Linked DNA regions of Cricetulus griseus. The protein of the gene in region 1 binds, or shares a complex with, the protein of each later gene. Links are inferred from orthologs where the notes say so. Each region holds a gene or a part of one and is shown in the gene's direction. Other genes may lie near its edges. The genes, in order: Pin1, microtubule-associated protein tau, Smad2 and Cpeb1.

Evidence for each region.
Region 2: the proteins of Pin1 (region 1) and microtubule-associated protein tau are in contact, whole or in part, in an NMR structure (PDB 1I8H), measured with the Homo sapiens proteins. The link is inferred for Cricetulus griseus from reciprocal best matches to the Homo sapiens genes PIN1 and MAPT. Residues at the interface, in NP_006212.1 of Homo sapiens: Arg17, Val22, Ser32, Gln33, Trp34; in NP_058519.3 of Homo sapiens: Val546, Arg547, Thr548, Pro549, Pro550, Lys551, Ser552, Pro553.
Region 3: the proteins of Pin1 (region 1) and Smad2 are in contact, whole or in part, in an NMR structure (PDB 2LB3), measured with the Homo sapiens proteins. The link is inferred for Cricetulus griseus from reciprocal best matches to the Homo sapiens genes PIN1 and SMAD2. Residues at the interface, in NP_006212.1 of Homo sapiens: Glu12, Arg14, Met15, Ser16, Arg17, Ser18, Tyr23, Phe25, Trp34; in NP_001003652.1 of Homo sapiens: Pro218, Glu219, Thr220, Pro221, Pro222, Gly224.
Region 4: the proteins of Pin1 (region 1) and Cpeb1 are in contact, whole or in part, in an NMR structure (PDB 2N1O), measured with the Homo sapiens proteins. The link is inferred for Cricetulus griseus from reciprocal best matches to the Homo sapiens genes PIN1 and CPEB1. Residues at the interface, in NP_006212.1 of Homo sapiens: Arg17, Tyr23, Ser32, Gln33, Trp34, Glu35; in NP_001352172.1 of Homo sapiens: Arg206, Ile207, Ser208, Pro209, Pro210, Leu211, Pro212, Phe213.

The regions. Positions count from the first base shown.
Region 1 is NC_048597.1:133,533,124-133,538,931, forward strand, and holds the start of Pin1 (peptidyl-prolyl cis-trans isomerase NIMA-interacting 1), read left to right. Parts: upstream 1-2,387; 5' UTR 2,388-2,466; coding exon 2,467-2,524; intron 2,525-5,808. UniProt on the Homo sapiens protein: Peptidyl-prolyl cis/trans isomerase (PPIase) that binds to and isomerizes specific phosphorylated Ser/Thr-Pro (pSer/Thr-Pro) motifs.
Region 2 is NC_048600.1:117,355,630-117,360,953, forward strand, and holds part of microtubule-associated protein tau, read left to right. Parts: intron 1-1,515; coding exon 1,516-1,597; intron 1,598-2,782; coding exon 2,783-2,895; intron 2,896-5,324. UniProt on the Homo sapiens protein: Promotes microtubule assembly and stability, and might be involved in the establishment and maintenance of neuronal polarity.
Region 3 is NC_048595.1:163,599,540-163,605,409, reverse strand, and holds the start of Smad2 (mothers against decapentaplegic homolog 2), read left to right. Parts: upstream 1-2,515; 5' UTR 2,516-2,540; intron 2,541-2,894; exon of another isoform or gene 2,895-3,167; intron 3,168-3,296; exon of another isoform or gene 3,297-3,439; intron 3,440-5,870. UniProt on the Homo sapiens protein: Receptor-regulated SMAD (R-SMAD) that is an intracellular signal transducer and transcriptional modulator activated by TGF-beta (transforming growth factor) and activin type 1 receptor kinases.
Region 4 is NC_048596.1:116,134,987-116,140,932, forward strand, and holds the start of Cpeb1 (cytoplasmic polyadenylation element-binding protein 1), read left to right. Parts: upstream 1-1,970; 5' UTR 1,971-2,082; coding exon 2,083-2,457; intron 2,458-5,946.

The DNA.
Region 1 (5,808 bases):
TTTTTTAACTGGTTAACACCTACCTATCCTGAGGACTTTATTTATTTATTTATTTATTTATTTATTTATTTATTGGTTTTTTGAGACAGGGTTTCTCTGTGCAGCTTTGGCTGCCCTGAAATACACTCTGTAGACCAGGCTGGCCTCCAACTCATAGTGATCTGCCTGCTTCTGTCTCCCCAGGGCTGGGATTAAAGGCTTGTGCCACCACCACCCAGCATCCTGAGGACTTTACATAGGGATAAGTCATTTGACCTTCAGATCAGCAAGAGGTATTATCACTTATCTATACTTTGCAATGGGAGAAGCTGAATCATTGAAGGTAAGTAGTTCACAGCAAGTGGTAGAGCCAAGCTTTGAACCCAAGCACCACATCTTGTTTTTACTCCTCTTTCATGAGTTCATGTCACTAAGCATCATCCTTTTGAGGTCACACAAGGGTCTACACTATTGATGAACTGGAATTAAATCTTCACCCATTGGAGTCTTTGAAAATCATTAAGTATCCAGGGCCAACAAGATGAGTAAAAGCACTTGCTACCAAGCGTGACGACTTTAGTTTGACCTGCAGAACCCCGTGGTGGAAGGAGAGAATAGATTGCCATAAATTGTCCTCTAACTACAAGGTTAACATGGCATCCTTCCTTATGAAGTGTAATAGGATTTTTTGTTTGTTTTGTTTAAGATTTGGTGTTTTTGTTTGTTTGTTTGCTTTTTATGTATACAGTGTTCTGTCTGCATGTATTCCTGCAGGCCAGAAGAGGGCAGAAGATCTCATTAACAGATGGTTGTGAGTCTCCATGTGGTTGCTGGGGATTGAACTCAGGACCTTTAGGAACAACAGGTAGTGCTCTTAACCTTTGAGCCATCTCTCCAGCCCAGTGTAATAGCTTTTTAAAGTCACTTTTTGGTTTTTAGAGACAGGGTTTCTATGTGTAACCCTGGCTGTCCTGGAATTCCCTCTGTAGACTGGGCTGGCTTCAAACTGAGAGATCCTATTGCCTCTGCCTCCCAAGTGCTAGGATTAAAGGTGTGTGCTGCTATTACTGGCATAAAGCAACATTTGTAAAGTGTTATGCTTTGCCTGCATGTATACATGAATGTGCACCATGTGCAGACCTGGTGAACTGAAAAGGTCCTCTGCAAGAGCAGTCCAGGCTCTTTTTTGGTTTTCGAGACAGGGTTTCTCTGTGGCTTTGGAGGCTGACTTGGAACAGCTCTTGTAGACCAGGCTGGTCTCAAACTCAGAGATCCGCCTGCCTGCCTCTGCCTCCTGAGTGCTGGGATTAAAGGCGTGCGCCACCAACGCCCGGCTCAGTCTGTGCTCTTAATCACTGAGCCATCTCTGTAGCCCTCCGCAGACCTTTTTCCTTCTCTCCTTTTTCTTGGGGGGGGGAGGGTTGTTGCTTTTGTTTCATTTGAGACAGGGTTTCTGTGTATAGCCCTGGCTGTCCTGGAACTCATTTCATAGACCAGGCTGGCCTCTGCCTCCTGAGTGCTGGGAATGCACCACCACATCAGTTTCCTCCACAGACTATCAATTGACTTAAGCCTATTCCTTTTCTTCATCCTAGTGATAATGCCATCGCCCAGCCCAGGAACCTAGGAAGGAGTCAGGCAGAGAAGGAATAAGTTGAAGTAGGTTCTAAAGAAAACTTGGAAAGTGGGTAAAATGATTAGCCTTGGGGCTGTAGAGATGGCTCAGAGGATAAGAGCATTGCCTGCTCTTCCAGAGGTCCTGAGTTCAATTCCCAGCAACCACATGGTGGCTCACAACCATCTGCAATGAGATCTGGTGCCCTCTCTAACCTGCAGGTCTACATGTAGGCAGAACACTGTATACATAATAAATAAATCTTTAAAAAGAAGAAAGAAAGAAATGATTAGCCTTGCAAAACCCAAAAAGGACTGGCGTCGCTTTGGAGGAAACAGGTGGGAAGAGAACCAAAAAGCCAAATTTAGGCTTTGGGCACTTGGCTTCTTATCACCAAGGCAACTGAATTGCTATGGCAACGGCAAAATACAGCAAAAGTACCGAATACCTCCCTACCAGCGAGCCGCTTCCGCGTGGAGGCTGGCCGACCTCCAAGAACGGCTCAATAAGGCGGGATTGGTTGCCGCAGGAGCCAATCAATAAGCTCTACTCTGCGGGCTAAGCCCACCAAGAAGGTTGCAGAGACCTTTTGACGCTTAAAGGAATCCTGAGCGTTCAATGGGCGACGCTTCCAGGTGGGCCAATCAGCGGCGGTGTCGGGACGGGGGGGCGGAGAGTGTGCAGGGGCGGTCCAGGAAGCCGCGAGTGAGCCCAATAAAATGCTAGCGCTCTAGCGGCGCCGTGGGGCCGTCCAACGGGCGTCTGAGCCGGGCGAGCCAATCGACAGTGGCGCTGGGCCGGCGCGGGGTCACAGCTGCGGAGGCGGAGCGGGGCGGAGCGGAGGCGGGGCGGGCGCTGCGGCAGGAGGGAAGATGGCGGACGAGGAGAAGCTGCCGCCGGGCTGGGAGAAGCGCATGAGTCGTAGCTCAGGTACGTCTTGGGGGTCGGCCAGGGACCGGGCCGGGCCGGGCCGGGCCCTCGCGAGATTGCAGAAGGCGGGCCCGAGCTCACGAGGACAGGCGCCCTGCCTTAGGCGTGAAGGTCTGGGCTCCGCGGCGTAACGGGCCCGGAGAGCCAGAGACCGAGGCAAGAGGTGGGGCGGGCACGGGCACGCCGGCCCGTCGCTCACCACCGGGCCGGACGTCCTCAGGACACTAGGCTGCACCGCGGGGCTCCTTTGGGAGGAGGAGACCCGACCCGGTGCCTCTAGAGGGCGTGGGCCGCCCTGATTTGGGTTCTGGGGCAGCATCTGTGACACGTGCCGGCTCATCTCCAGCACGGGATCCTGCGACAGCGCTGGCTTAAAGGAGCTCAAGTTCGTTCACAAGTCTGTACGTCCCCCACCCTCCCTAGATCCCTTCATCTCCGTCCTGCCCCCCCCTCCTCTCTCCCTCCCTCTTTCCTTGGCTCATCCTCTCCCTTTCCCGGTCTCCCCTCTCTCTCTCCCGTTTCTCTGTCGTGCCCGTCTTTCAAGGGATGGTTTGCTCTCATTTTTCTAGTGAGGGAACTGAAGCCAGGACACGCAAAGAACTCGCCAAATGATGCAGTTCAGGGACTGGGAATGCAGTGAGTTCCTACCGCCAGAGTCCCCTTGCCAGTGTCAGTGGCAACGCCCTGAGGAGCGGATAGGCATCTCCGGTAGAACCAGGGTCCTGCTGCCTACAGAGCTCACTTATTCTTATTGAGCACCAGGGTGCTGGACACTGTATACATTAGCTCTCTCTGAATTAACGCGGCTAGGTTTAATGTGTCTTTCACCCTTTTGTTTGGGAGGGGGAGGTGAAAGGGTGTTAGACTGGATCTCACGTGGACAGGTTGCTAGATCCTCCTGCTTTAGCCCTTCAAATGTTGGGATTATAAGCATGCACCACTTTGCCCAATGTATTTATTGAGACAGAATCTTTATTAGTAATATTAGTAGTAGTATATTTTGTGTGTATGCTTGTGGAGATCAGACAATAACTTTTGCAGGAGGTTTTTTTTTCTTTCTTTCACCATGAGAGTACCTGAGATCAAACTCACATCCTCAGACGTGGCTGCAAACACATTTACCCACAGCTATTTTCTTTCTTTTTTCTTTTTAAATTTGAGAGGGGGGGGGAGAAGACTAGTCTTGAACTTGCTTTCTTGAACCTCTGGTCCCCACCCTCACCTTTCTGAGTGCTGGGATTACTATCACACACTAAGATAAAAGTCTTGCTGTGTAACCAAAGCTGGCTTCTAACTCATGGTTCTTCTGCTTCAGCCTCTCAAGCACTGAGACTACACTCATGTGCCACCATGCCTAGTTCTGATGTCCTTATTCTCTTGCCCCAGTTTTTCAGATGAGAAAGCTGAGGTTCAGGGAGATGGCCTATTGTATTTAGCCCTAGAGTCCTTGCTCCTATCCAGGCTGCTCCATTCCTGGCCTAAGCATAAACATACTTCTAGGTGGGTGTGGTAGCACGTAGATAAATTTCCAGTACCTAAGAGGCAGAAGCAGGAGGTTCTCCAGTTCATAGTTATCCTGAGCTACATAGACTTTTGTTTTGTTTTTGTTTTTTGAGACAGGGTTTCTCTGTGGCTTTGGAGGCTGTCCTGGAACTGACTCTTGTAGACCAGGCTGGTTTTGAACTCACAGAGATCCACCTGCCTCTGCCTCCCGAGTGCTGGGAAAGACCTGAGCTGCCACCACCCAGCCATCCGGCCCTTCTTGATGCTGAGTCACCTATGTAACCCAGAAAGACTCTAAGCCCTTGGAGTGACCCAGAATCTACTGGGTCCTTCTTTCAAGCTCCTGCCATGTCCCTCACTGCCCCTCCTCTTTCCTCCTTCACTATTTTTTTCCTGTTTTTTTTTTTTTAATTTTTTAAAATTTAAATTAGAAACAAGATTGTTTTATATGTCAATCCCTGGTCCCTCTCCCTCCCCTCCTCCCCTGCCCCCTTTTCCTGTTTTTTGTTTGTTTGTTTGTTTTTTGAGACAGGGTTTCTCTGTTTAGCCCTGGCTGTCCTGAACTTACTCTATAGACCAGGCCAGTCTTGAACTCAAAGGTCCCCTTGCCTCTGCAGCCCAAGTGCTTGGATTAAAGGTGTGTGTCAACACTGCTTGGCTAGCCTCGAATTTGTGATCCTCCTGCCTCCACCTCCTTCAGCAAATCCTACATGTGTATACCACCACAACCAGGTCTCCTTCACGTTTTTTTGAGACAGTCTTGCAAACTTACCCAGACTGGCTTCAAACAGCAGACACCTATCCTCTTGCCTCAGCCTCCCTAGTTCTAGACTGTGCCCCATCAAGCCAGGCTTTTCCCTTAAGCTTTTGAGTTACCTTCTTTATGCTCCTCACTGTCACCTAGATGTCCCTTAGATGACATCAACCCCCCCAGTAATGCTGCTTTCTTGCTCTTCAATTTAGGCCACCAGGGTAAGGATTAAGAATAAAGTTTTGGGCCTGGCAGTGGTGGCGTGCGACCTTAATCCCAGCACTCCGGAGGCAAAGGCAGGTGGATCTCTGAGTTTGAGGCCAGCCTGGTCTACAGAGCGAGTTCCGGGGCAGCCAGAGCTACACAGAGAAACCCTGTCTTGAACCCCCCCTCCTTTGAGGTATCTGCCTCTGTCTGTGCACAAGATATAGCTGCTGCTGTGAGCAGAGGTGGGAGGTGAAGCCTGGTTTGTTTGCAGTGGAGCGATGGATAGAAACCGCCATACTTACCTTTTTGGTGAATGTCTGATACTGGAACCTGAACTAGAACCTCACAAATGCCAGGCAAGCACTGTTCTATCAGTAAGCTAGATCCCAGCCCCATGGTATTTTTGTTTGGTTTGGTTTAGTTTTTCCGAGACAGGGTTTCTCTGTGTAGCTTTGGAGCCTGTTCTGGAACTCGCTCTGTAGACCAGGCTGGCCTCAAACTCAACAGAGATCCTTCTGCCTCTGCCTCTCGAGTGCTGGGATTAAAGGCATGAGCCACCAACACCTGGCTGTTTGTATATTTTTTAAATTGGATCCCATGTAGTCAACATTGCTCTCAAACTATAGCTGAGAATGTTCTTGAACTTTTGATCATGTTTATTTTGTAGGGTAGCCTGAGGACATCTTGGGGTGGGTGGGTTCTCCTTCCACTAGGCAATTCCTGGAGTTCAAACTCAGGTTCTCAGACTCTGACACATTCCTTTCCTTGCTGAGACATCCTGCAGACCTGGAAGCTGTTTTTTCTGTTTTGCTAGTTTAGTGTC
Region 2 (5,324 bases), on another chromosome or scaffold:
GGGACTTACAGCAGGCTGGCTGCTCCTCCATCTGCACCTCCTGGCTGGGCTGTGTCCTCCTCTCTAGGGCAGCCTCCCCACACCCTGTACATTCCTTTCTCCTCTGGCCATTTCAGGCTTCCATCATCTCTTACCCCTGCCCCACCCTGGTACCGACTCTCAAGCGACTACCTGGGCTAGAGGGAAGGAGGGAGGCTCTGGTTCCTGTAGCATTCCTGTCCCTTCTTGGAGGTCTCTGTCTCCCATGGGCTGCAGAGGGCAGATGCGCCTGCATGGGAGCCAACCCCTTGGCTTTCCCATCATCACCTGCCCCGGAACTCCCACTGTACCCTGGGTCTATCTGCAGAAAGTCCTCGGGACCATCTACTCTTCACCCACCTTACAGGGGCAGGGTGACACCCCAGGACTGACATGTGAGGCCACAGCCCTCCTTTTCCATCAGGTCCATTAGCAAAAAAAGAAACACACACACACATACCCCACAACACAATACAACATACCATCAGCACAGCTATCTATGAAAATGAGAGGGATTTGTCCACTTAGACCTATGTAAAACATCCACCTTGCTTTACTGACTCTCACACACGAGGCCAACCCTCTCCCAGGACAGAAGATGACACTTTCCCTCACTGGAATGACCCCACTCGTGGTCTATATAGGAGACCCATGGGATTTGGAATTAGTTAGTGACCAGCTATCTAACCTATAAGACTAGTTCTGAGAGACTGGCTCCCAGGAGCCCCTTCTACTGGGGTGGCCTCCTCCAGGGTGTCCTCTCAGGAAGCAACTGCCATTCCCCAGAGCAGGCGTCGTTGCTGGGTCACATGAAGGACCTCTTGGGCAGGCAGGTCTCCCTGTGTGTCATGTCTACTCACTCATGCTTGCTGAGACACTAAACCTGTGGTTTCCACTGTGTGCCTGCATCCTTGTTGGTGTTGCTTTGCTTTTTCAGTAGAGGATGAAGTGTGCAGGAGACTGTGTGCCCAGACACCATGTGACTTTTACCCTGAGTCATAGCACTGTCCTGGGTCCTGTTTGCCAACTGGTGGTCAAGGACTGAGGGAGCTCCCTGGATGAAGCACTCCCATCTTGTCGACTCTTCTCTGAGTCCTTTCCAAGGAGATCATCTGGAGGCTGCATAGGCCGTCACTTCTTCCTCCACTGTGTGTGATGGGTCTTTCCTCAGTTAAGGATTTATGTTTATATGCTTAATATCTAAATAGAGATCATGATCACACACAGGGACTAGGCACCCTGCTTTTCCATGAGAGTCTCTTGGGTTTCTGGGATTGAATATGCTCAGGTCCCATAGTTACTTTGTGAGGACCTAGTTTCCTGGGGGACAGGGATTGGCTGGATTTGGGGAGCATATTTTCCTCCCTGGGTGGGGTATATCCAGTAGTTAATGGGAGCCACTGACAAGTGGTCCTTTGGGCTTTGCATTGTGTTACACCCCCTAGTAACATAACCCCCTTCGTTTTCTGTCTCATTCCCACCCCCTCTGACCTGCAGGTGCAAATAGTCTACAAGCCAGTGGACCTGAGCAAGGTGACCTCCAAGTGTGGCTCATTAGGCAACATCCATCACAAACCAGGTAGCCCTTGAGGAAGGAAGGCTTTGGGACAGGAAGGTGCTGGCTAGTCTGGCAGGTGCTTCCTGGAACAGGCTAACCTGAGCATTGAACATTAAATGTGAAGGTGCTGTGTGGCCTGGGAAATGTGACTGTCTCTGCTGGCTCCTGAGCAGGGTGTTTTCAGCCTAGACAAGGGGTGGAGAAAAAGGAGAAGCTGGTCCTAGATTCTATCTTGTGGCTCTCCAGCAAAGTCTGTAAAAGAGGACCAGCCATGGACTGATTGGGCCCCCAAAGGCAAGCTATATGGATGTCTCAGGCTTGTCCCAGCCAGCATGGGGGGACTTCATCAATGGCTATAATGTAAGATCTTTCTGGGCTGCTGTCCTACTCTCATGGTGACTGTTTAAACAAAGCACCCTTCCCAGGAAAGCAGTACAATTCACCTCCCCTCCTGCCACACCCTGGTGTGGTAACCCAAGTCAAAGGGAGAGGAGTAGGGTCTCTCCTCATTGTACATTTTTTTAAATTTATTTATTATGTATACAACATTCTGCTTCCATGTATATCTGCACACCAGAAGAGGGCACCAGATCTCATTATAGATGGTTGTGAGCCACCATGTGGTTGCTAGAATTGAACTAAGGACCTCTGGAAGAGCAGTTGGAGCTCTTAAACTCTGAGCCATCTCTCCAGCCCCTCATTGTACATTTAACATGCAGTACGATTCCAAGGTCTTGAGGGGCTGTGGCTTACAGGATGTTCATATGAAAATCTCCACCGCTGGAAGGCATCCAGTTTAGAACTCAGCATGTCTTCCGCTGGCCAAGCTTCCTGTATCTTTGAACCATTTCAGGAGGAAGATTTTGCAGAGTAAATACCTGATGAGCATCTCGATTAGAGATGGGGCAGGTGATTTGGCACCATTACAAGAGCTCCCTTGTGCCTAATTCTCCTTTTAGATATAGTAGAGCTCTGACAACTCCAAGAAGGTGGGCTGTTCTTGTGATCACTGGCCAGCCTCTGTTGGAGTCAGAATGGGCACATTAGTGAATGTTCCCCTCCAGAAGGGTGATACCTGACCTCTTTTTTTTATCAAGCCTTCAGAAGCCCCAGGCACTTTGCTCTGCAGTCTGTGACCTCATTTAATATATGCTAAGTCCCCCAGATCACAGATGACAAGAGGCTCTTGTGTGGGTTGTGTTCCAGGAGGTGGCCAAGTGGAAGTAAAATCTGAGAAGCTGGATTTCAAGGACAGAGTCCAGTCGAAGATTGGTTCCTTGGATAATATCACCCATGTCCCTGGAGGAGGGAATAAGAAGGTAAAGAGGGACAAATGGGGGGCACATGGGGATATGGGGGTTAATGGAGTGGACAAGGCTGGTCCTAGGGGGTCCCATATGGACTACCTAGAGGTAGATTCTCCCCCTCAGCTCAATGTACCAAGAACAAGGCACCAGACCAAAGGCAGATCTTTTCCACTAATTACTAGAAAGCTAGAGCAAAACAGTGACTCTGGCTGAGGCTGTGGCTCAGCTGGTAGAGTGCTTGCCCAACATGCACAGAGCCCAGGGTTCCATCGCCAGCACTGCATAGACTGGGCATTAAACTGCCATCCCAGATGGAGGTAGGAGGATCAGGAGTTCAAGACCACCCTCAGCTACATATTAAGTTTCAGGTTAGCTTGTGCTACATGAGATTCGCACCAAACAGACAGACGAAACCCAGGGTTCCTGCTGGGCAATGGTGGTGCACACCTTTAATCCCAGCAATTGAGAGGCAGAGGCAGGTGGATCTCTGTGAGTTCGAGACCAGCCTGGTCTACAAGAGCTAGTTCTAGGACAGCCTCCAAAGCCACAGAAAAACCCTGTCTCAAAAAACAAAACAAAACAAAAACAAAACAAAAAACAAAACCCAAAACAACACCACCACCACCAAAAAAACAGGGGTTCTGAAGAGAAGTGTTCACACTGGGGCTGCTGGGCCTCGAATTCCCAGCTGTGTCTGGTCTCCAGGCTGAGGAGAATATGTGCAGGGTATGGGAACACAGAGGTGCGTGGCTCTAAGCAAGCTCCTCTTGCACCTAACACAGGGTGTGACTGTAGGGTTTTTCCTCCAGCATAAACAACCTCCACACCTGCCTGGCCCCATATTGTGGAGGCAGCCTCCTCTGCAGGGTCCTCCCAGCAAATGACTGAACAGAGGGAATGGCCTGGAATCAGACCCAGCCTAGCACGAGAAAGGGTACTTACCCAAGGTGGCTCAGCTGTTTTTCTACTTGGCCTTGTTGGATGGCCCTTGGGATTCCCCTGCCTGGCGAGTCCCCACGGCACCCTGCTTTCTTCTGCAGCCATGTGTCTGCATCTGCTGCTTATATAAAGCCCCTGGTAGTACTATGAAGCATCCGTTGGACTGCTGAAGTGCCCAACACATGGCTGCCATTTCTGTCACACACCACTCAATTGAAATGCAAAGCCTCATACATACTGCTCCCATATGGGGTCTATTGGCCCCCGGGTGCCACAGGGAGTCAGTCACAGGCCTGGTTCCACCTCAGTCTGATTCAGTGGGGCTGCAGCAGACCTGAGCTGGAGATTCCCTGGGTAAGGGAAGTTCTCAACCAGCCTGGGAACTTCTATGCCCTGGATGAAACTCTGGAGCACTAGAAACAGATAGAGGTTATTCCGGGCTACAGAGAATTAGTGCCAGCCTGGGCTACACTTGAGAACGTCTCTTGGAACCAGAAGCAGTTGGGCATAGTGGTGCACGCTTTTAATCCCAGCATTTGCTGAACATTTGGGAGGCGGAGGCAGGTGGATCTCTGAGTTTTCGGGTAGCATGGTCTACAAAGCAAGTTCCAGGACAGTGCGACCACACACACACACACACACACACACACACACATATGCACGCACACACACATGCACACACAAAGGTTTTTAATCAAAGCTTCTCTCAAGTACAGTAGTATAAAAGATCCCTCTTTACCAAAAAGAACAGCATATGCATGCAGCCTAAAGGAAAGGCTGATTTTTCTCTATGCCACCATTCAAGCTCCCAGCAAGGGTCTTTGACCTCAGAAGGTGTGTGGAAATGCAGTGTGTGTGTCACATACTTATGTGCACACATGGCTCAAAGCCTGGGATCTAGAACAAGGTGGAGGCATTTTGTATCCACCCTTTTGATGTAGAGACTGCTATACATGCCTCAGACTGCTTTCTGCTTCCCTTTGGGCTCCTGGCTATAACCCTGTATGTCTGCACCCCCCCCCCACCTATGTGTACATGCATATGCAGGTGAGCCCACCCGTGTACATACATGCGGAGACCAGAGCAGGTTGTCTTCCTCTATCACTGTCCACCTTATTGCCTTGAGACAGGGTCTCTTACTGAACCAGAAGCTTACTGTTTTTGCTAGGCTGGCTACGAGTGAGCTTCCGGGATGTACCTGTGTTCATCCCCAAATGCTCAGGTTACAGGTTACAGGCATGTGCAGACACACTCTGCTTCTTTTACTTAGGTGTAGAGGATTCGACCTCAGGCCTTTGTGTTTGCACAGAAAGCACTCCTACCCACTAAGACATCTCCTCCCCAGGCCTGTGATATCATTTCTTAAGAAGGGCTTCTTGCCGGGCATTGGTGGCACATGCCTTTAATCCCAGCACTCGGGAGGCAGAGGCAGAGGCAGAGGATCTCTGTGAGTTCGAGACCAGCCTGATCTCCAGAGTGAGTTGCCAGGATAGGCTCCAAAG
Region 3 (5,870 bases), on another chromosome or scaffold:
ACAATCTAGATGTGGAGACAGAGTAAGCACATATGAGAAGTTAAGAAATTCCCATTATTATATGAATAAATCATCCATCAAAACATTAATCCTGGTAAAGCCACGGTATATGTATGGATCAACATTGACAAAGAAAGTACAGTTAATATAACTTGGGTCTGAGTAGACCAGAAGAGATTTACAGATGTACAGACAGGAGATGAACATGAGTTGGATTTTTGGAAAAAACGAATGGATTATTAATTTTTAAACAAAAGAAGAATTGACAATTAAATAAGTTTTTTCACTCATGACTCTGAGGCTTTTTCCAGGAATAGCTATAATTTTTCTTATGTCTTTTAAATGCACTTTGAGTTGATTTAGGCTTAATTGATTTTATAATGGCATGAATAATGAAGGGTTAAACTTGCTGTCCATATATATATATATATATATATATATATATATCAGACTTATTCAATATAACTTATACAATAGGGACCTACTTATAGATCTTCAGGTACCCTAGTGGATTTCCAAGCTGATCGTTGCCATGGTAATCCTTGTTCCATGTGCCTTCAGTTTCTCTTGACCCACTTTGGTTTAGATGCATTTCTAACCAAGGGGATAGCAGGCATGCTCCCATTTCAATTCCCTTGGAGACTACATTAGTAGCCATGCTGCCCCTATCCCTTCCTTCGGTCCTCTAGATCTTCTTGAGCAGTGGTTCTCAACCTTCCCATTGCTATAACCCTTTTATACAGCTTTTCATTTTGTGGTGACCCCCGACCATAAAATGATTTCCTTGCTACGTCATACCTTTAATTTGGCTACTGTTATGAATTGTAATGGAAATATCTGATATGCAGGCTATGATATTGTTAAGAGCCACTCCTCTGTATCTTGGAAGGCTTTATAAATGGAGGAGTTATGATCTCAAAGAATGACACCTTGGAGAGATGGTTTAACTCCAATTCAAGAAGAATCTATGAAGCTCGGCTTTCCCCTTCCTCTTGACAACTACTTGTGTGCTGCCCAAATCCACATATGAATCATACAATTATATTTTATGATTCAAGACCATTTTTAACAGGCCATTCTGTATTAAGACTGTTGATGTCTATCAGTATAAAGAAGGGTTGCAAGTCAGAACCAGTTTCCCTACTTTTAACTTGAGTATCATTTGCCTTAACCACACACCCAGGTGGCCTTGGGAAGTTGAGACAAGGGATCTCCTGAAGTGGTGCCTCTCAAACTTAACTTTTATTTTGGTGGTGCTGGGGGGTAAACCAGGGCCTAGAGTGGGCGAGACAAGAGCTCTACCAATGAAGAACATCCTCTGCCCACAAACTATTAAAATAGGAGTTATGTGGCCTTCCTCTGAAATTGTTAACAGAAGAAACACCCAAATCCCTCTGTGCAGGTGAATTTCTGCTAAGTCCATGTTAGCATAAATATCTGTTCACAAAGGGAAGTTAATGATCCTTAATTTTCCTTTAGTTTCAAAGTCTTGTTCTCTTTATTTCCATTTATGATGTCATCAGCATATAACTATGTAAGTTGGTGTTATCATTTCGAGTACCACTTTGTCAAAAGCCTTGGATTTTTTTAGAGCCGAATTGAAAACTATGACTGGCTTATATGTGGGATTCTTCACAACTTTCCCATGAGAATAGTGGCAGAGATTTTGAAAGCCAATTTAAAAAACCTGTAAGTCTAGAGGCATGACCAAATAACTCAAGGTCCAAATGAAGGTCCCTTCTCTAGGATGTCCTCACATATGAGAACAGGGAATAGTTCACTCTTAACTGCTTCAAGTTCCAGGACTGCTTTGTATTGCTAGGAGGTTTGCTGGATTAGCTTGAATCTTCCAGGAAACCTATGAAGAGGTAGGTAGGTGGGTATATGCGAGCACGACAATCAGCCAAGGAAAGTGTCTTATGGTATTGTCTTTATCACTAGCAAACAGAAAAAGACATTTCAAATTTGGGTTTATTATGCTTCCTGTCTAACACAGGTGCTTAACACTGGAGGCGATTACTTGGGGTTCAATCTTTGTCTGCCAGGGTGAAGTTAAAATTACCGATGAACCTGGTTACGCCGCTGTGGGTAGTCTTAAGTTTGGGGACTTCCATAGGTAAAGGTGACAAGTTGGGGCCTAGGAACAGGGCATAGTGAAGGTAAAACCAGCTAGGGACAGCAAATCCAGGGGCACGCTGCCAGGTGCTCACACTTTACAGTGAGCATTCGAAACAGGCATCATTAATTAATACTTCGACTTCAGAAGGACTCAAGGTTCGGGTTGGAGAAAAACACCTAGCTGCTGCCTAGCCCTATCCCAAACCGCACCGACAAGAGAACTCTCTAACTCCGCGGTTTTTCGCACCCCCCACCCCCCAGGCCCCGCCACAAGGCCCCGCCCACCATTTGCATAGGGCGCACCCCTCTGCGGCCAGCACTCGGGTTTCTCCCGAGCTCTGCCGGCCCAGAGGCTCAGACCGGGTTGGGGGCGGGCCCGGGCCCGGGCCCGAGCACGTGTCCACTCCGGCCTCACGACGAAGGTGGGCGAGGGCTGGGCCGCGGCGCTCCACCCAGAGGCGCCGGGGTGGGGGGGTGAGAGGCGGGGGTCTGCGGGCGTGGCAGGCTGCGCGGCCTTCCGCGCTTCGCCATGAGCCCCGTGGGAGCGCGCCGGACACGAACTCAAGCGCAACCGCGGGCGTGCCACCCCGCCCGGCCGCGCCTCGCCTCACGCTCGACGGGGAAGGCGGGACCAATCAGCGAGCGACGTCTCCCTTCCGATTCCAGGCCCCCGACACGCTGCTCACACCCCGGGCTCCCCGCTCGCTGATTGGCTGGCGGTGCCGCCGGTCGGGCCGGAGCGGGAGGCAGCGGCCCGCCCTGCCCCGCCCCGCTTCCGGCCCCCGGCCCTGCCTGCGGCGCCCGGCCTCCTTCCGACCCTGCCGTGCTCCCTCCGTCTTCCGTGCGCGTCCCGCTCGGCCGGCGTGCCTCACGCCTAACGGGCGGCCGCGGGCGCCAATCAGCGGGCGGCAGGGTGCCAGCCCGGGGCTGCGCCGGCGAATCGGCGGGGCCCGCGGCTCAGGGAGGGAGGCGGGGCTACCGCGCGCGGCGGCGGCGGAGGATCAGCTCGCCAGCCTGCAGCTCGCCAGCGCCAAGCGAGCCGCCCGGAGGTAGGTGCGCGGCGGCCGGGGCGGAGGGCGGCGGCGCGGGGTGCAGGCAAGGCCGGGGCGCGGGACGCGCCGAGTGGAGCTGGCGGCGCCCTCCCACCCTCTCCACCCGTCCGCTCGGCCGCGGCGAGCGCGGGCCTGGGGCGGGCGGGGCCCGCGGCGCAGTTCCGCCTGCGCGCGCCCACTCCTCCGGCAGCGCAGAGCCCGTCGGAAGAGGAAGGAACAAAAGGTCCGAGGCTCGGCTCGGACGGGGCGGGACCTGGCACTCGGTGCAGGTAAAGCCGGGGCGCCGGGAGGACCGGTCAGGGGTGTGCGGGGCCGGGTCACGTGGCCGCCCGTGTGGGGTGTGGCGGGCCGTGGCGCGCGGGCCGGCGGGTCCGGGCCGTGCAGGGCCGCGAGCCCCCGCCCCGCCCCGCCTGGCTGCGGCCCGCTTCAGTCCCGGCGCGACCGCACTCGCCGTTTGCGTTTCAGAAGGGCCCGGGAGCCGAGTTAGGGGCGTGTGGTAGTTTGTTTCCACTTTTTCCTTTTTTTTTTTTTTAATTTATTTTTTCTTTTCTGTAGCCTTTGTTAACCGTAACTGTCGCGGGTTCCGAATCGCTCGCTCTGTGTACTCACAAACACGCTCGTGGCTGAGACTCCCGGGCTCATCCTCCACGCACTTGGGAAAGTTGCTCCGTGGGTGCAGCCTATTAGTTTCTAATCACACGCCTTTCGGAGGCATGCTAATTGATTGCACATATTTCAGACTTGGTTTTCACAATAGGTGCTTGGATTTATTTTGTTTTAGGTTTTGTATTCTTACCCTTGCATGTTATGGTTTCCTTGAGAACCTAAACAAAAGAAAAATAAAAATTGAGGGTGGTTTTGTTACTCCTTCCTTTTGCCCTTAAAGGCAAAAACTACCTGTTTGTTGTCAGACCAATTAAAGAAAAATACACCCGGGTGAAAATAATTCTGCCTTACTTTAGGCCTTGTTGGGATATTCTAAATGATGATGTTTTAAATTAATGATAGACGTGAATAAATGAATCACCAGCCAAATGTACCTGAAGATCTTTTAAAAATGGTACCCTGATATGTCAGTTTCCAAAGTCCCTTTTAGTTTTTTTCTGATTTCAGTTGTCCTGGTAACAACATACAAAGGATGTTTCCTTTGAGCCTAACACAAGAATACAGTTGCTGCCTTGCTGGAAATATCTTTACTATTAGTTTACTTTGATCCCTGTAAAAAGCAATTTCCCCCTTTACAGAGAAGTGTTAAGTAGTCAAAATGAAGTTGGAATAGTTTCAACTCATGAGTTAGTGAAGCAGATGGAATCCAGACATGGGAGAAGTATTATAGTTTAAGGTCTTTTTTTTTTTTTTTTTTCCCTTTCATTTAACTATGAAACAACTCCATAGAGAATTTTTTTTTCTCTTAGGTCATTTGGAAAATGTTTATGTTAAATTCATAAAGTAACACTGCTGTTATTTTTAAATTTTCTTTTTGTTTTTGCATAAACTTACCTGGGTGGTAAGAAAAATCGTTCAGATCTTTGGACATTTGTAAAGTGAGTGTCCACTTACATGCTTAATGTTAAAATCCAGTTTACTTAATTGAATTTAAGACTGCTCACTGACCGGACTTAATTACTGTACTGTGATTACAAACCTCACTTGTGTTCCTTAGCCAGATACTGCTCCTAAAGCTTGGTGTTTTCTATATTGTAGCTACACCTAAAGTGATTTCATGTTGTAAGTGTTCAGCAAAGTTTGGTCTTCAGGGTTCTAAGGTACTTGTCACTAAACAGCTATGCAATCTGTATGGTTCATAAAGTAATAGTCTTGGGAGAAACTGCAGAGTAATTTCCTGTTTGTGGCCTGTTAGGCTTGGTTATGTGTTTGAACTCTCAGTAAGACTGTTGGGGCTGGTTTTGTACACAGTCCTTCCCTTCAGGTGAACAGATGTGCTACTAAAGCTGGTAGCAAGCAATCCCCTTCTCTGTTTGATAGCTTTGATACTGTAGATAACGAAATGTAACTGTAACCTCAGGACTTTGCATTAGGGAGATTGTGAGTGAACAAACAAGCAAATTAACTCAGTTCAGCTGTATGAACTGGTGGCTAAGGACCTTTTGGGTTTTTATATTTGTCAAAACTTTCAGATCTGACTTTTGGGCCTGTTCTCCTGGTTTAATGCTCTGGACTCCAGAAGGCTGTTTGTAGCAGCCTTTTTTATACAGGTGCTTTTGTAGTGCAGGCAGGAGCTGTATATAGTGCAGTCTGGCAGATGGAGGTTTATTCATATTCTTTGGACAAGAATCCTTTTTAGGGGGTGGAGAGAGGCATATCTTTTTAGATGCTTTGTCTGAGTAGAAGCAGAAGAGACATTTTTAAGACCTTGGTTTCTGCACTTACAGGTGCAAAGATGTTTTCCACTAAGTATTGCAAAGGTGTGTCAGAAAAGTGACTATAAAGAATTAAGTATCATCACTCTACTGGACAAGTAAGACTTGCTCACTACACAAACTTTTTCAGTGGCTAGTTACACCAATATTCCCTAGTGGAATTGGGAAAGTAACAACTCCTCATGTCTCGTGGCCAAGACCCCACAGTGAGAAAATTATGTATAAGTTGTATCTGAGCAGTCAATAAATTCTTTCATAGTAAGTTCTTTAAGTATACTTGCACGTGTAAAGGGTGGCACTAGGGGAGATGGGATGTCTC
Region 4 (5,946 bases), on another chromosome or scaffold:
CTTATCAGCTAACCATCCCTTCCACTTATTTTTGAGGCAGACTTTCTTCAAACAGTAGTTCTTAGCTGCCTTCCAATGCAAGGCAATCTTCCTGCCTCATCCTTGATAGTATTGAGATGACAGGCCTAAGCCAACATGGCTGGCTGACCAGCCCTTCCAGGTGTGCCTTGGGCTTTCCAAGCACCTCACACACCCTCACTTAAAGTTCCTATGTTGTAGGCATCTGAGTGTAGCACTCTCTCAGAAGAGGGAGAGAAGACAAGCAAGAAACATAAGGTTTGGAGTATCAGGCCTATGCTGCTTGCTGCCCAAGATGGGACTTGGGGGTGGGCTGCTCCTAGGGGTATGGGTTCCCCTACAGACATCACCCTTTCTACTTAGGACAGCAGCTCTTAGGAAGGCACGAAGATGAAGACTAGCTAGTCCTCGTTGTCATTGAGTTCCCTCAACTCAATGCATCTGTCCCTCTTCTCCTCAGAACAGCACACTAGACTAGAGCCATAAGCATCCTTTCTTATCACCCTGGGCAGAAACCTACAGTACCTGCCTCACAAACCTTCCAGTAGTTGGCAGCGTCTTCTTTCCTACCTGTCAGGAGAAACCTTCAGTATAATACGTGCTTAATAAATAGTGTAACATATAAACCACTTAGAAATGTTCAATAAACTCTGGTCCCTTTCTTATCCACTCCAGTGCCAACCTCTAAGTCTCCAGCAACACCTTAAAAGAGACAAACAACTTCCAAGCTCTGTTCTCCATTCGTTACTAGTTTCCAGCTAGCTGCAGAATAAAAGCCCTTCATAAACTGGGCTCAGGCTTCCCTCCTGTGGTATCAGCATGCATTAGCTGAATCCTAGTCAGATTGGGCCGCTCAGTGCAGTCCTCCCTCTCCGCCTTCCCTGGTCTCCAGCCCGGAATGCCATCTCCGCCTCTGCGCTCGCTTGGGCTTCCGGTCCGCTCCAGCCCCAGCTGGCCCATGACGCCTTTCTAAACAACAGCCGGGCTCACCCTGATCTCCTGCCCCGAATTTTCTCAGTAAAGCGCTCTATCATATCTGGCGGGAGCGTCGGAAGCGGTTTCCCACAGGGAACTGCAATCCAAAGAGGATCGCTGCTGTCTTTGGAACTTTCCGGAATCCCCTGACGCCTGCGCTCCCTGGTCCAGCTCGCCGGAGATGCAGTTGCAGTCGGTCTGAAGTGAGGGCGTGTCTGCTGCAGGTGGGGGGTGGGGGTGCTGGGTTCGTGCAATGGGGCTTCCATCCGAGAGGTCACTAGAAAAGGAGGGGCGTGGTTATACGGTTTTAAGGAGGCCGCACATCACCACCGCAGCTGCATCGCAGAGGCTTGTAGATCAGTGAGGGAAACTGAGGCCTGCGGGAGAGTGACTTGGCCTGGATCTCTGGGTGAGGGGCGTGCTCAGGCCTGGATCTCCTGGCTCCTAGAGGTAGAGGTGGCCTGCAGCGGCTTGAGCCTCGGAATTCGCCCCCGCCTGGGTCCCCAGGCCCAGGGTGGGCGGTGGAGCGCGGGTATGGACGGCTGGAAGGAGCGCAGGGGGCGGGGGCGGGGGCGGGGCGAGGCCGGGCGGGGCCGACACAGGTGCTCCTCATCAGGCCAGCGCCTGTGCGGAGCTTTATAAGCCGCCGGGGCGCGGAGTCGCGCGCCGCTCGCTGCAAAAATAGTGCCCACGTGTGTGTGCGTCCCGCGCCGCACAGACCCGCCGGCCGGCCGGCCCGCCCGCCGCCCGCCCGCTGGTCCCTCAGGGCGACGCCGGACCCCATGGCGTTCTCTCTGGTAAGAGCCGCCAGGGCGGGGCGGGGCGGGGCCGCTGTCCCGGCTGCCTCAGCTAACGGTCCGCTCGCTGTCTCGCCGCCCCACAGGCCCCCACCGCCGCCCCGGCGAGCGTCCCGGGCGGGGCGCCGGTCACATGCCCACGGTCGTGGGCCTCGTGGAGCGGTGTGGGGCGAGGGGGGGCAGGGAGCTTCCTCGTGACTCAGGCCTTTGGGCTTAAAGGCGCCGCGGCCCTCCGGGGGCGGCCGCTGGGGCCTCGGAGCTGCGCTTGCAGACTCCCGGTGGCCTCGAACGTATGTCCAGACGGGAGCTGGCCGCGCGGAAGGGAAGCCGGGCGTCCACGACACTTCCTCCTCCCGCAGCCGTCGCACGTGAGAGCCGAGGCGGCCCGCGGCGCCGGCGGCTCACGTCTCTCCAGAGCCGCCTCGGCGTCCCGTGGGAGGCAGGAGCTGGCGTCTCGCGGCGGGCGGCGCGGAGGGCAGCGGAAGCCCCTCAGGCTGGGTCCGCGCTCGGGGACGCGCGCCACGACGGCGCCGCCGATATGGCTCCTTTAAAGCCGAGGACTCGGGCCCCTCGTGCGGGCCGCGCGCTTTCCGAGCCCGGGGAAGTCACGTGGCTTCACACGTTCGATTGCTTCTGGAGCCCGAGCCCTGAGGGTGGAGCGGGCCAGGTGAGGTCGCGCGTGCGTGTGACCCGGCTTCGAGGGCTAGCCCCGGGAACCTGGCGGGTCTGGGGGCGCGGGCCGGGAGGAGGAGCCAAGCAGCCCGCGAGGGGGCGCTGGCGTGGAGCCTGCTCGTCGTCGTCCTCCTCCTCCTCGGCGGCGTCCACTTTCCTCACTCTGCGGCCTGGCCAGACGCGCTCATGTGGCCTCGCGGGTGTCTCTCAGCTTTTCTCAGGCGGCAAGGCCAGGTGCCCAAACTTGGGGGTGTCGGAGTGTAGATGGGTTCGCGTGGCCTCCAGCAATGGCCTCAGGTTTGGGGGAGCTGGGCGGGGGTAGGGCTGACAGGCAGCTTCACTGGGGCCTAGACGCCACCCCGGGAAAGGCCCACGCCTGCCTCGGATCCCTGAGGCAAGGGGACCCAGGCCAGGAAAGTGTCTTTGGTGGTGGGCCGCTCGCTCCGTGTGTTGCTCGGGCCTTTGCCACCCGCGTGGGTTGCTCTGCGGTTCCAGTCACCACGATATTGAGCTTCCCTTTCCAGGGGACCCTATAAGGCCACAGTTCCTGCAAGTGGCCCTCAACACGAGGAAGCATGGCACACCTGGGCTCCAGGGAACTGTGCAGCTTCGTGTGTGAGCGCCATGGTCTGGAGTAGCCCTTTGCGTCTTGCAGGCTGTACCCCACTGTACTCTGCCCTCAGATAGAATTAAGCGTGTGGAAAAAGTCGGAAGCACCCGAGACCCGGATTAGCCCAGGGCTGCCTGCCTCAGGCCTCCCCATCCCCCACAGCGGCCTCCAGGCCGACTCTGATGAACGCATTTCTCTGGCAACTGCTTCTTTTGGTCTCCCTGGCTACCGTGCTGCCTCCCCACTCTCTTCTGGCACCTGGATAAACTGCTGGTCTGCGTCATTTGCTGGGGCCAAGGCAAGTGGGTCGGGTTTAGTGCTCTGGGAAGGCATGCATGTACCGGCTTTCTCCAGGCCATCTCTGAGGTGACTGGGCCCACATGTACCAACACAGACTGTGCTGATGAGAGTTTTCACTTCTTGCTTCTGTTCTGTGTGAGTGTAGGAATATGAACTGTGTGTTTAAAAAGAAAAGAAAGAAAGAAAGAAAAACGGGCAAAACAAAACCTCAGAAATACAAGCTGGTGATTGTTTTCCTGTTATGTAGAAGAGATGGACGGCTGACTTCTGATGCATACTGGGGGCTCCAGTCTGTCAGGAGGCCTAAGGATAGTAGTGTTCAGAATTCACCACTGATCATTTACCCTTCCTTTTAATAACTTGCCTGGGATTCACAGAGCATTTTCTGTATGGTTTACCACACTCCACCCCAGAGTTTGCACAGTTATCTCAATTCAAGTTATTTGACACTGAATGCTCTGTTGATAGAAAGCTGACAGATATAGGTAAGTCAGCCTTGAGTATAAAAACACTTGCATCCCCTCCCAATGATTGTTCTACAGACAGCTTCCTGGCAAGAGGCTCCCCAGTGTGGAAGGGAACAGATAAGAGTTAGAGAGCTGACACAGGCAGTTAATGATCATGGGGACATTTGTCGTTAGGAATGGTCCTGAGGTCCTCTCAGAGTGTGAAGGAAGAAGTTGTACGATGGTAAGAACAACACCAAACCTGTTAACAAAGAGCTATTGATAATAACTGCCTCAATAAGTGTTTTCATCACGCACCATCGACTCATTGTAAAACATCCTTAAGGAGGATTATAAACCCGGATTATACAACGGTAAAATGAGTTGAAGATGAGGGAAGAGTAGCACCCACTGACCTATAGTGTATATGTATATGCCTCTCTAAAAGAAACAGTCATTAACTGATTACTGAAAAACAACTGCACACCCGGAGTTGGTGGACCTTTGACACCCTCCCCCCATTTTGATGAATCCCTGGCTTTTAAGTGTAGCAATAACCAAATAACAATAAGGTTGGGTTCAACCTGAAAACTGGTTTGGAGTCTGTCTGTAGATATCTCTATATAGAGTTCCCTGTCTTACAGTTGAGGCTCAAATATCAACTCCCAAAGCTTATTAAGTGATGGAATGAGATCCTGGATCTTTTTGTTGCTTTATCCCAACCAGTTACTTGTGTGCCTGTCAAGGATCAAAAGGTTATTGGTGATGGATGACTGGGTCTGTGGGCTGGTCCCATTTTTACATCATGAACTCTAACTGTAGTGGTAGCATTCTCCTATTGCTGTGGAAGTCAGTATAGGTCTTGTGAGCATTAGTGCCTGGAAGGAATGTGCTGTGTCTACCATTCCATGATGTGTCAGAGCAGTTAGTTGATGATCCCGAGAGCCAGAGGTCTGAAGAAAGGCTCTTCCCAACCTTCTATACAAAAGACTTTCATTTTCAACATAGATAAAATTTCAGTAATTTTTTCCTCAGACAAGGCAGATTTGAAATGATATAATTGGTTTTAATTTTTATTGTATTTTTTAGTAATTGTGTGTTGGAAGTTGTGTGCATGCCAGAGTGTGCATGTGTGGGGCGATCAGAAAATGGTTTGCAGGAGTCAATTCTGTCCTTTCAGCACAGGGTCCTAGGGCTCCAGACTCAAGTGTTTTTCACCTGCTGAGCCATCTTGCCAACACTCAAATTTTATATAATTGTTTTAAGACTGATAAAAGTAGAGTGATGTTTAATTTCACTTTTTCTGTCTTAACTAAAACTCTTCTAGTGATGCCTCTTAGATTTCCAAGAATTAGTAAGACTTAAAATTTTGTACCTCTCTCCCTCCTACTCCCTCTCCCTCTCCCTCCTTCCCTCCTTCCCTCTATCCCTCCCTCCCTCCTTCCCTCCCTCCCCCTCCCCTCTCCCCCCTTTCTTTCACTCTCTCCCTCCTCTGGGTACCATATCTGCAGGGTCTCCTTATGTGACTTAGGCTGACTTTGAACTCCCAACCCACCTACAGCAGCCTCCTCCTGAGTAATAAACCTGGCTTAGTCTGGGCTGGGCTTTTTCTATTGGTGGTGGGTTTTGTTGTTGTTTGATTTTTTTGTGTGTGCAGAAAATTGTAAAATTGTAAATGTTAATCTCCCAGGGCATAAAAGGACCCTTACCCAGGAATGAGGGACTGGGTCTTTAATTCTGGGCAAGGCTTAGTATCTTTATGTCAGCATTATATCTAGTCATGCTAGTAGAGGTTGGAAGGGTCTAGAAGGAACATTTATTTCTGTATCTTGCTCTTAAGGCTTTAAAGGAGGAGTGAGTATATTCAAAGCCTTTAGCATTTGGCTTTTTACATGAGAAAACAGGCTCTAATATAAACAAGGCAGCTTCTTTACCCATGCTTGGAAGGTTTTAGTAAAGATAGGAACTTCAACTGTTGCCTGACCTTAGCCTCTACCAGCCAAGCAATCAGGTCTGAGTTCAGTATTAGCCGATTGGGAAAGCAGAGAGCAGTAGGTGAATCTAGGGCGTCTATATGGAAGTTCTTTGCTAATGTATATTTTAGTGCTAAGTGTTGTGTGTGTAAGCT